Saccharomyces cerevisiae S288C: one gene and its partners. Changing the gene in region 1 together with any one later gene gives a genetic interaction. Each region holds a gene or a part of one and is shown in the gene's direction. Other genes may lie near its edges.

Region 1 (3,761 bases):
CTGGAAAAAAAAAGTGCGAAGACATCAAGCAGCAAGATACTTCTCATAATGAAACCAAATAGAGTGCCTATATTAACAACATTTTCTTCATGTAAACAATATTGGCCGCGCTGATGACGAACGACATTCAAATGTCTAAAACGGCTAAACTTAGTGAATACATTTACAAATTCATTTCTGTTTCGGAGGGGTGACAGAATGACTATAAATTCCATGCTTAAGACTTATCGCCGATATAAGTAAATATTGAAATGAAAATTAATCACCATCGACCGACTAGAGTTCGCATAAGTATATTATCGTGTACGGTGTAAGAATATAAATAAATGACGAACGGTCGTCAAACTTAATGGGAGCTGAAACACAAGGATCCGAATTATGATAGGGTAGTGAATGGCGACACATAAGCGAATAAAGAGAGATCATAATGCTACTGTGTAGAAATATTGATCACTTCTCGTGGGTTCGTAAATCCTCGGGGAAAAACTACAGTATACTTTGTATTCGCAAAAATATTACCGTTCCAAATAATAGTATGCCAACGATTATCAGCAAGTTCATCTCATTCACAGTACCCAGAAATACGAAATGAACAACTTTACACAACGATGATTCCTTTTCTCATAATACTTTCATTCGATTCATCCTTATATATTACTCACACACATCAGTTGCTCCAAAATCTAATAACACTGTGATCCCTGTTCTACTACTCTACTTTAATTAATTCCATCTTTTAACAACCTATACTATGGAATATAATTGATAACGATTTTAATTTTTTGAACGAGTAGCCGATAGACCAATATTACCTGCTGTTAGAATCAAATATGAATATAGACAATGTAATTATGTAACCAGAAGGAATCACAAGAAAACAGAATACACAAATAATCAAGTTAGTATGGCAACTTGGCCGAGTGGTTAAGGCGAAAGATTAGAAATCTTTTGGGCTTTGCCCGCGCAGGTTCGAGTCCTGCAGTTGTCGTTATTTTTTGCCTCTTGATGGATTTTTAAGTTTTGCGCTCATGCTTGTTATGATAATAGGAGAGCGAAATGCGGTAATTTTGTTTACGTCCATAATCATTTTTTCGTTTTGAGATTATTTCGGATCGGCAAATGCATTTTTTTAGCTCTGGAAATGTTGTTTTCACTTTTTCGCTTGCTTATGTGCATCCTAGGACTTTAGTTCACACCATCGATTATTTCTGTTAGGTTACACAGCATCTTTTACGTAAATGGCATGTGGCGATTCGCCAACTGGTTTCTCCTCATCGTTCCTAGCGCGGGGCTGACGGCCTTCCTCTGTGTTTTCAGGTAGTATCATCGCTATCGCACTCCACCAGCTACGAAGCCGGTGCAGGCAGAAACATTACTTGCATAGTAATACACGAAATTTATTTACTTTAAACCTTTATATCGAATTTATATCCCTAAACATTGAATTCTTCTCTTTTTTTTTCTTTTTTTAATTAGTTTTTTTCCTATTGTAGTTTTTTCCATCGCAAGCTAGATAAATATCTTCAACTTATTCACTTTGGCAGGACCAGATTTAACTGACTTGTGTAGCTAAGGAACGTGAAGGCTGAACAACAGCGGGAACTAAGTGCAGAATATATCGGCAGAAGTTTTGCAGAAATAACCCCTCATTAACACTCACTCTCATCCTTCAACTGCTCGAAAGACGGTTAACAAAAACCATCAAAAAGCACTCTGTTACTTAAATATAATGCAAAAATCCGTTAGAGTGGGCGACTATTTTGACAATGATGACAATGGTTTGTGGTCGTGGTACTTAACAAACCTCAGATTAGGCGATTTTGAAGAACTTATAGGCAATCAATTAAAATACACTCTGTTAAAAAGATTTCTGAATAGTCATTTTTATGGTGATAACAATATTTCGGCCAGGCCAAACAAGAAGATTTTGTTAGTTTCCATCCCAGAGAATGTTCATGAAGATATCTCCATATTGGAAATCTTCCTCAAAGATTACTTTCATCTGGAAAAATTAGAACACATTCAAATCTCAAAATTAACTCACTCCCACTGCTACAATCATGAAAATCATTACCTATTGACGGACAACCTCAACAATTTCCAAGACCCTACCTTTTTAGAATTTGCGAGTACAAGTTGGCAAGTTCAAAAAAATTCCAAGGCTTTAAACAATAACAATAGAAATTCAATACCACCACCCACAATATCTTCATCAAAAGCTTCAAACGGGAAGCTAGAATCAAACGTTTCGGATGATCAGTGGTCAAATATAAATACCCAGACTTCAACAGCTACCCGAACTAATACGAATACGAGGACTTTGACATCTCCGGACACAGTTGATATAAACGTTACATCCGTGAATAGTCAAAGCAATAATAATGATACGCCTCAAGATAATGAAAACGAAGTTGATGAAGAGGATGCCACAAGTTCTATAGTCCTAAATTTTTCTCATTCGCGAACAGTAGATTCAAAGCCTAATAGACTACCCAAAATTTTTCCATCATACACTAATGAAGACTATACACCGTCACATTCCGAGATAATGTCAATAGATAGTTTTGCTGGCGAAGACGTATCATCCACATATCCCGGACAAGACCTGAGTTTAACTACTGCCAGGCGCGAGGATGAAAGTGGTCAGGATGAAGTTGAGGATCATTATAGCAGAGTCTCACATGATCTAGGTGACGAGAGTATCGATCAAGCAAGTTATAGCATGGAAAGTTCGGTCAGCTACACTAGCTATAGTAGTAGCAGTAATAGTAGTAGTGCCCACTACAGTTTAAGCAGTAGCAGCCGAGGTAATCCAAAACGTGAAAACATCGATCACACGAATGCCACCTATGTCTCTGAATTGTCAAGTATAACGAGTTCTATAGACAATTTAACTACTTCGACAACCCCAGAGGAGGAGGATAATTTAATTCATCATAACTATGACGCCCAAGGGTATGGATCAGGAGAGGACGATGGAGAAGAGGTTTATGATGATGAAGATCTTTCTTCTTCCGATTACTCAGTACTATCCATTCTACCGTCAATCTCAATTTGTGATTCTCTAGGGTATTTTAGGCTAGTTTTGCAATCTATATTAATTCAGGATCCAGACACCAAAGAAATTTTTACTGCGATTAGACAGTCAAACAATAAACCTACAATGGCAAGCGTTACCGATGATTGGTTGCTGTATGATTCCAATTTTTCAATGAATAATTTACAAATTCTAACACTTCAAGATTTGCTAGATATCAAGAGATCATTTCCAAAAATTTTATTTTACACAATGGTTATTGTGACAAACTCCGGCAAACAGGTTGAAGAAGAATTCAAAAATCCCAATTATGATAATAGGGAAGGAATATCAAAAGAGCAACCTCTAGATTCTGAGTTATCATTAACTAACGACCCGCAACAATATTTCCCGACTGCATATAATAACGGTTACAACGACTATATTGACGATGAAGACGATGAAGACGATGGTGACGATGCTTCTTTATCAGAACAGTCAGGCCCACAAATGTACATACCAACTAGAATGGAATCTAACGTTACTACAGCACATCGTTCTATTAGAACCGTAAACAGTATCGGGGAATGGGCATTCAATAGACATAATTCTGTTACAAAAATCGATAAAAGTAATAGTAACGAGTTGGATAACTCTAAAACAGGTGAAAGTACAGTTTTATCAAGTGAACCTCATCCAATGACACAACTGTCGAACTCTAATACGACTTCCTCGAATTTTAGCC
Region 2 (3,761 bases), on another chromosome or scaffold:
TTGTGAGGCTATTGGCCTCATAAAAATAGCTGGATTTCATCGGGAAGAAACTTATGAGTTTCTTCCATTTGGTGAGCAACAACTTATAAGAAAGGTTTACTATCTGCTTCTCATGACAGAGAGGTACTATGCCGTATACATTAAATGTGTAACAAGTTTGGATACCACTATATCTCCACCACAACCCGAAATCGTAACTGATTCCCGACTTTCTTTGGATAGTTTTCTTGAGGTGATTAAAGTATTCACTGTTCCTGGGAAATACTTTTACGATGCCTTAGCTACCAACAGTGTTAATGGTTCCTATACTGAAGACTCTCTAAAAAGGATATGGAATGAACTTCACATAAGCTCACTTGATATAGAGCCATACTCTTACGGATACATAGACTATCTCTTTTCTCGGCACTGGGTCAGGACTCTAGCATGGAAGTTGGTACTAAATAAGAAGGATATGCGGATGAATTTTTTTTCGAATACTAACGCCACACACATTCCAGTCGAAATAGCCAAGGATATGTTACAGGATACACTTTTAACTCCAATCGACCTATATGATGTGCATGGTCCTGTGATACCAATGAAGGCGCTAGAAATAGCCAATGCATTGGTAGACGTCGTAAGTAAGTATGATCACAATATGAAGTTGGAGGCTTGGAATATTTTGTGCGATGTATCTAAGTTCGTTTTCTCCCTGAAACATTGCAATCATAAAATGTTTCAAAGGTTTTCAACTAAATGTCAGAGTGCTCTAATCGATTTGCCTATCTCTAGACCACTGCGCCTAAATGATGATTCCAAGGATGAAGTCGACATTATTCCCTAAATGAACTTTATCTTCTTACAGTTTCAACATCTTGTGACCTGATGATTTTCCTCAAATGAACTTTTGCGTTTTCATTGAGAAAATTTCATTATACTTTATTTTTTTTATAAATGGGTACCAAGGCATTAAATATAGATCTGGTTTACTAATCTGAAGAAATTGTTTTCAACCACATAATTTGTGCAATTTGGCGCTATACAAAGCCCATGTTGGCTACATTAGTCTTTGAATCCTTTAGATTGCCTGAATCAATAGCTCATTCAAAATATTTTGGACAATCGATAGTTAACTGTAACATGTGCTGCTATATAGTGGCAATCTAGATGCATGTATCTTATATGATTAAGTATAAAAGAACCACAGCAAAGCTAAACGTAAATAAGTAGTTTAGAAAGTACTGGATATGAGTTAAGAATCTGTTAATTGAGCATGACATGAAAATTTTGTATTAAAGCAATATGAGTCGTCACATTAAATATATGAAACTACGGGAATTACCATCATATTGGTCATGATTAATAATAAACCAATCAGCATGTTTTTACCTCTATTATATTAGTCTTGGACCCGTATTCAACCTTCATTAATATTATCTTTTTACCTTTGTTCATAAACACAATACATTGTTTTTGCAAAATATAACAAAAAAGATTAAGGAAGAGGACCATGTACACTACGATCTTACTTTTGAAATAGAATTTGTTTATTTTTTCAAGATGTTAAACGAAGATGGTGAGTAATATTCACAAAACATTGTAAAAATATTACTTGCTTCATTCTGCGAATTGTTCAAACCCGTAAAGAAAATTTCTAGTATATGATATATGCATAATATCAATAGCTTTACAAAAATAGAATCCGAAAACTATCTAGAAGTTTACTCGTTTCTCAAGTTTTATTTAACAAAACATAGACGAGCTTTATTTCGTGTGAAGAAGTGAAGAAGCTTTAACAAAACTGTATTTCTAAAAGAACGTTACTATACAATAAATTATAAAACTGCATTAACCAATGAAAAAAAGCACTATTAATCGAAACTCGAATATGCAATATTGTTAATGTAAATTAAGCTATCGGTCCGTTTATTTTTCTATCGAAAAGCGGCTTAGTTAGAATGGTTGATAAACGGCTGCGCTTCGTAAAAAGAAATGACATCTTGGAACTACTTTAAATAGAAGTTTAAATCTCATGATCATGCTCATCTGTTTGTACAACACATAAGCTTCACCGTCAGACATATATGCAATGAAGAGTACTTTGAGTTTAACTTTATGTGTTATATCGCTTCTATTAACCCTTTTTCTGGCGGCCTTGGATATTGTTATAGTGGTTACTTTATATGATACAATTGGCATTAAGTTCCATGACTTCGGCAATATTGGTTGGTTAGTTACTGGATATGCTCTTTCTAATGCTGTTTTCATGTTATTATGGGGTCGCTTGGCCGAAATACTTGGTACAAAGGAGTGCTTAATGATTTCTGTTATTGTATTTGAAATAGGGTCTTTGATTTCTGCTCTTTCGAATTCAATGGCGACTCTGATTAGCGGAAGAGTCGTTGCTGGGTTTGGAGGAAGTGGAATTGAATCACTTGCTTTTGTAGTTGGAACATCCATTGTCCGAGAAAACCATAGAGGAATTATGATAACGGCACTCGCTATATCGTATGTCATTGCAGAGGGAGTCGGGCCTTTTATTGGTGGTGCATTTAATGAACATTTGTCTTGGAGATGGTGCTTTTATATAAATCTTCCAATCGGTGCGTTTGCGTTCATAATATTGGCATTTTGTAACACATCTGGAGAACCACATCAAAAAATGTGGCTACCATCAAAAATCAAAAAAATTATGAACTATGACTATGGCGAATTATTGAAAGCAAGTTTTTGGAAGAATACATTTGAAGTACTTGTATTTAAACTAGACATGGTTGGGATTATTTTATCTTCAGCAGGCTTTACACTACTGATGTTAGGTCTTTCATTTGGTGGAAACAACTTCCCATGGAATTCGGGTATCATTATTTGCTTTTTTACCGTGGGCCCTATCTTATTGTTACTATTTTGTGCTTACGACTTTCATTTTCTGTCATTATCGGGGCTTCACTATGACAACAAGCGGATCAAACCGTTACTGACATGGAATATTGCCTCAAATTGTGGCATATTTACAAGCTCCATAACAGGATTCCTTTCTTGCTTTGCTTATGAATTACAGTCTGCTTATTTAGTCCAGCTTTATCAACTAGTATTTAAAAAAAAGCCTACATTAGCGAGTATACATCTTTGGGAACTATCAATTCCAGCTATGATTGCAACTATGGCCATAGCATATCTAAATTCAAAATATGGCATCATCAAACCGGCAATTGTTTTTGGTGTGCTTTGTGGGATTGTTGGATCTGGTTTATTTACGCTAATCAATGGCGAACTCTCTCAGTCAATAGGTTATTCAATTCTCCCAGGAATAGCTTTTGGTAGTATTTTCCAAGCAACGTTATTAAGCTCCCAGGTGCAGATAACATCAGACGATCCAGACTTTCAAAACAAGTTTATTGAAGTCACAGCTTTCAACTCGTTCGCCAAATCCTTGGGCTTTGCGTTTGGAGGGAATATGGGGGCAATGATATTCACTGCATCACTCAAAAACCAGATGCGCTCTTCCCAATTAAACATACCACAATTTACGTCTGTAGAAACACTTTTAGCGTATAGCACAGAACATTATGATGGCCCCCAATCTTCACTATCAAAGTTCATAAACACAGCTATCCATGACGTTTTTTACTGCGCCTTAGGATGCTATGCTCTTTCATTCTTCTTTGGAATATTCACTTCGAGTAAGAAAACAACAATATCAGCCAAAAAGCAACAATGAACAATTTTCCAACGTATAAATTAACTTATCGTAGTTCGATAAAACTAGACAGTACTTA
Region 3 (3,761 bases), on another chromosome or scaffold:
GGTGCCACAGTTGTACCGTGTGGGTATCCTAAGAAAAGAATGGAACCAAACCAAATTTCTTTGGTACATGTTGGATGGTGTATACCAATCTGTGATATGCTTCTTTTTCCCCTATTTGGCGTACCATAAAAACATGGTTGTAACTGAAAATGGCCTTGGACTAGACCACCGTTACTTTGTCGGTGTCTTCGTTACAGCAATTGCAGTCACTTCATGTAACTTTTACGTCTTCATGGAACAGTATAGATGGGACTGGTTCTGTGGCCTATTCATATGTCTATCACTGGCCGTGTTTTACGGCTGGACGGGTATATGGACAAGCTCGTCGTCAAGTAACGAATTTTACAAGGGTGCGGCGCGTGTATTCGCACAACCTGCCTATTGGGCAGTACTTTTCGTTGGCGTGCTGTTCTGCCTACTGCCAAGATTCACCATTGACTGTATCAGAAAGATATTCTATCCGAAAGATATAGAGATCGTTAGAGAAATGTGGTTACGCGGTGATTTTGACCTCTACCCACAAGGCTACGACCCTACGGACCCTAGCAGGCCCAGAATAAACGAAATACGTCCCCTTACAGATTTCAAAGAGCCCATTTCACTGGACACTCATTTTGATGGTGTCAGCCACTCACAAGAGACCATAGTCACAGAGGAAATACCAATGAGTATACTCAATGGTGAGCAAGGCTCGCGCAAGGGGTACCGTGTCTCTACCACTCTGGAACGCCGTGACCAGCTCAGCCCCGTTACAACAACGAACAACTTGCCTAGAAGATCAATGGCCAGTGCCCGCGGAAATAAGCTCAGAACTTCGCTGGATCGCACAAGAGAAGAGATGCTTGCCAACCACCAACTGGACACAAGATACTCCGTGGAAAGAGCACGTGCCTCGCTGGATCTGCCGGGTATCAATCATGCAGAGACGCTGCTCAGCCAGCGCAGCAGGGACCGTTAATGATTACAATTTTTTTCTTCCTTTGTACTATGTATACCAATGTGATATGATATAGATTTCATATAGGATGTGATGATGTGTATCACCCGGCACGGCTCTACCCCGCCCTGTGGGGTGTGGAGAAAACGCCGCGCAGAGCCTTGAGTAGGAAGGGGCTGGGTTCTCCCCTTCCTGCCGGGGTCCGCCCGGCGCCAAGAGTAAGAGAGCGAAGCCGGAGACGTAATATGAAAAAAATTTTGAGGGGAAAGGGCGTCCGCAAGGGCAAGGGCAAGGGGAAGGGGTGGCGTTTTGTGCTTCAAGGAATTATATTTCGTTGTTTTCCGCACTATGGCGGCATTGTGGCAAGTAACTACTTTACGGAGAAAGACTAGAAAATGGTTACAACTGCCACTATTACCGCTTCGCATTCTCTTGTCTTACAGGTCCCTTGAATTGGCATTTACGTTTACATCCGATCCGGTTTTTCACCAAAGAGAAAGGAAAGGAAAGGTAAAAATAGCAAACCGAAAAAGAAAACAGTATTTTCTCTCTGTTTAGGATTATTACCACTACTTACTGAAGAGAAGTTTTTAACGTTTATCGTTTGTGTTGAGGTAGAAGTACAAACGCGTGTGTGAGTTGTGTATTTGAAATTATTATCCTTCTACGCATATCGGGAAAAAGTTAACGGAAAAAACAAGAAGAAAACCTCCCCCCTCCTCCTCCCGCCATACAGAAGGCAAAAGAAGTTGGTCTGTTAGGAAGAAAATAGCCAAGTAATAATACGTTTGGCCAGTTGTATTTTTTTTTTGTTTCGCTAAGTCTCTTGCTTACAGAAACTCTTTGCCCACCACATATTTCATCGTTTTTCCTTTCTGTTCATCATTAACCTCCATTTCCCAATTTTTTCCAATTTTCAATTTTTTTCACTATTTGTTTCTTTGTTGGGCGTTTAAAAAGTATTTGCTTCTACAAAGTGAACAACATCGTTGTAATTTTTTTTTTTTAATTTGAAGAATAGCTACAAAAACAGACTACAATGGAAATCAAGCCAGTTGAGGTTATTGATGGCGTTCCGGTTTTTAAGCCGTCTATGATGGAGTTTGCAAATTTCCAATATTTCATTGATGAAATTACTAAATTCGGAATAGAAAATGGTATTGTCAAAGTCATTCCTCCCAAAGAATGGCTGGAGCTTTTAGAAGGCTCACCTCCTGCGGAAAGTTTAAAGACTATACAACTAGACTCCCCGATTCAACAACAAGCCAAGCGATGGGACAAACATGAAAACGGTGTATTTAGCATCGAAAACGAGTATGACAATAAGTCGTACAATTTAACACAGTGGAAGAACTTGGCCGAAAGTCTAGACTCTCGAATAAGTCAAGGTGATTTTAATGATAAAACTTTAAAGGAAAATTGCCGCGTAGATAGTCAGCAGGATTGTTATGATTTGGCACAGTTACAAATTTTAGAAAGTGATTTTTGGAAAACCATCGCTTTTTCGAAACCTTTTTATGCAGTGGACGAAAACTCTTCAATTTTCCCCTATGATTTAACTTTATGGAATTTGAATAATTTGCCAGATTCTATAAACTCAAGTAACAGACGGTTACTTACTGGTCAGTCTAAATGCATTTTTCCATGGCATTTGGACGAACAGAATAAATGCTCTATAAACTACTTGCATTTCGGTGCTCCCAAACAATGGTATTCCATACCGTCCGCAAACACAGACCAATTTTTGAAAATTTTATCAAAGGAACCATCAAGTAATAAGGAAAATTGTCCAGCTTTTATTAGACATCAAAACATCATAACTTCTCCCGATTTCTTGCGAAAAAATAATATAAAATTTAATAGAGTGGTGCAGTTCCAACATGAATTCATCATTACTTTCCCTTATTGCATGTACTCCGGATTCAATTATGGTTACAATTTTGGCGAATCTATTGAGTTCATATTAGATCAGCAAGCTGTCGTTAGAAAGCAACCTTTAAAATGCGGCTGTGGAAACAAGAAGGAAGAGCGAAAATCTGGTCCGTTTTCAAATTTATCTTATGATTCTAATGAGTCGGAGCAACGAGGCTCCATTACTGATAATGATAACGATTTATTTCAAAAAGTTCGAAGTTTTGATGAATTACTAAACCATTCCTCTCAAGAGTTACAAAATTTAGAAGACAATAAGAACCCCTTGTTCTCCAATATTAATATGAACAGACCGCAAAGTAGTTCTCTTCGGTCTACTACCCCTAATGGTGTAAACCAGTTCCTGAACATGAATCAAACTACCATAAGCAGAATTTCTTCCCCGTTGTTATCAAGGATGATGGACTTATCAAATATTGTGGAACCCACTTTGGATGATCCGGGTTCCAAGTTCAAAAGGAAAGTTTTAACTCCGCAATTACCGCAGATGAATATTCCGTCTAATTCTAGTAATTTTGGCACCCCTTCTCTAACTAATACAAACTCCTTACTATCTAATATAACGGCTACATCAACCAACCCATCGACAACTACAAATGGCAGCCAAAACCACAATAATGTTAACGCCAATGGCATTAACACCTCTGCAGCCGCATCTATCAATAATAACATTAGCAGTACCAATAATAGCGCTAATAATAGTAGTAGTAATAATAACGTTTCCACTGTGCCTTCTTCAATGATGCATTCGTCCACTTTAAATGGGACTTCAGGTCTAGGCGGCGATAACGATGACAATATGTTAGCTTTAAGTTTAGCGACACTGGCTAACAGCGCTACTGCGTCACCAAGATTGACGTTACCGCCGCTGTCGTCACCAATGAATCCGAAC

What was found.
Region 2: of GIS4 (region 1) and SGE1, extra expression of one rescues a mutant of the other (dosage rescue), as found in Saccharomyces cerevisiae (one study listed by BioGRID).
Region 3: of GIS4 (region 1) and GIS1, extra expression of one rescues a mutant of the other (dosage rescue), as found in Saccharomyces cerevisiae (one study listed by BioGRID).

Annotation. Positions count from the first base shown.
Region 1 is NC_001145.3:256,385-260,145, reverse strand, and holds the start of GIS4 (Gis4p), read left to right. Parts: upstream 1-1,729; coding exon 1,730-3,761.
Region 2 is NC_001148.4:931,963-935,723, forward strand, and holds SGE1 (Sge1p), read left to right. Parts: upstream 1-2,071; coding exon 2,072-3,703; downstream 3,704-3,761. Other genes in the region: YPR196W (putative maltose-responsive transcription factor), read left to right, coding at 1-826. UniProt on the Saccharomyces cerevisiae protein: Drug export permease. Multi-copy suppressor of loss-of-function mutation of GAL11. Involved specifically in transcription of GAL4-dependent genes. Can link GAL4 with the basal transcription machinery if GAL11 is missing.
Region 3 is NC_001136.10:635,163-638,923, forward strand, and holds the start of GIS1 (histone demethylase GIS1), read left to right. Parts: upstream 1-1,976; coding exon 1,977-3,761. Other genes in the region: aminophospholipid-translocating P4-type ATPase DNF2, read left to right, coding at 1-958. UniProt on the Saccharomyces cerevisiae protein: Transcription factor involved in the regulation of gene expression upon nutrient starvation. Recognizes and binds to the post-diauxic-shift element 5'-T[AT]AGGGAT-3' in the promoter region.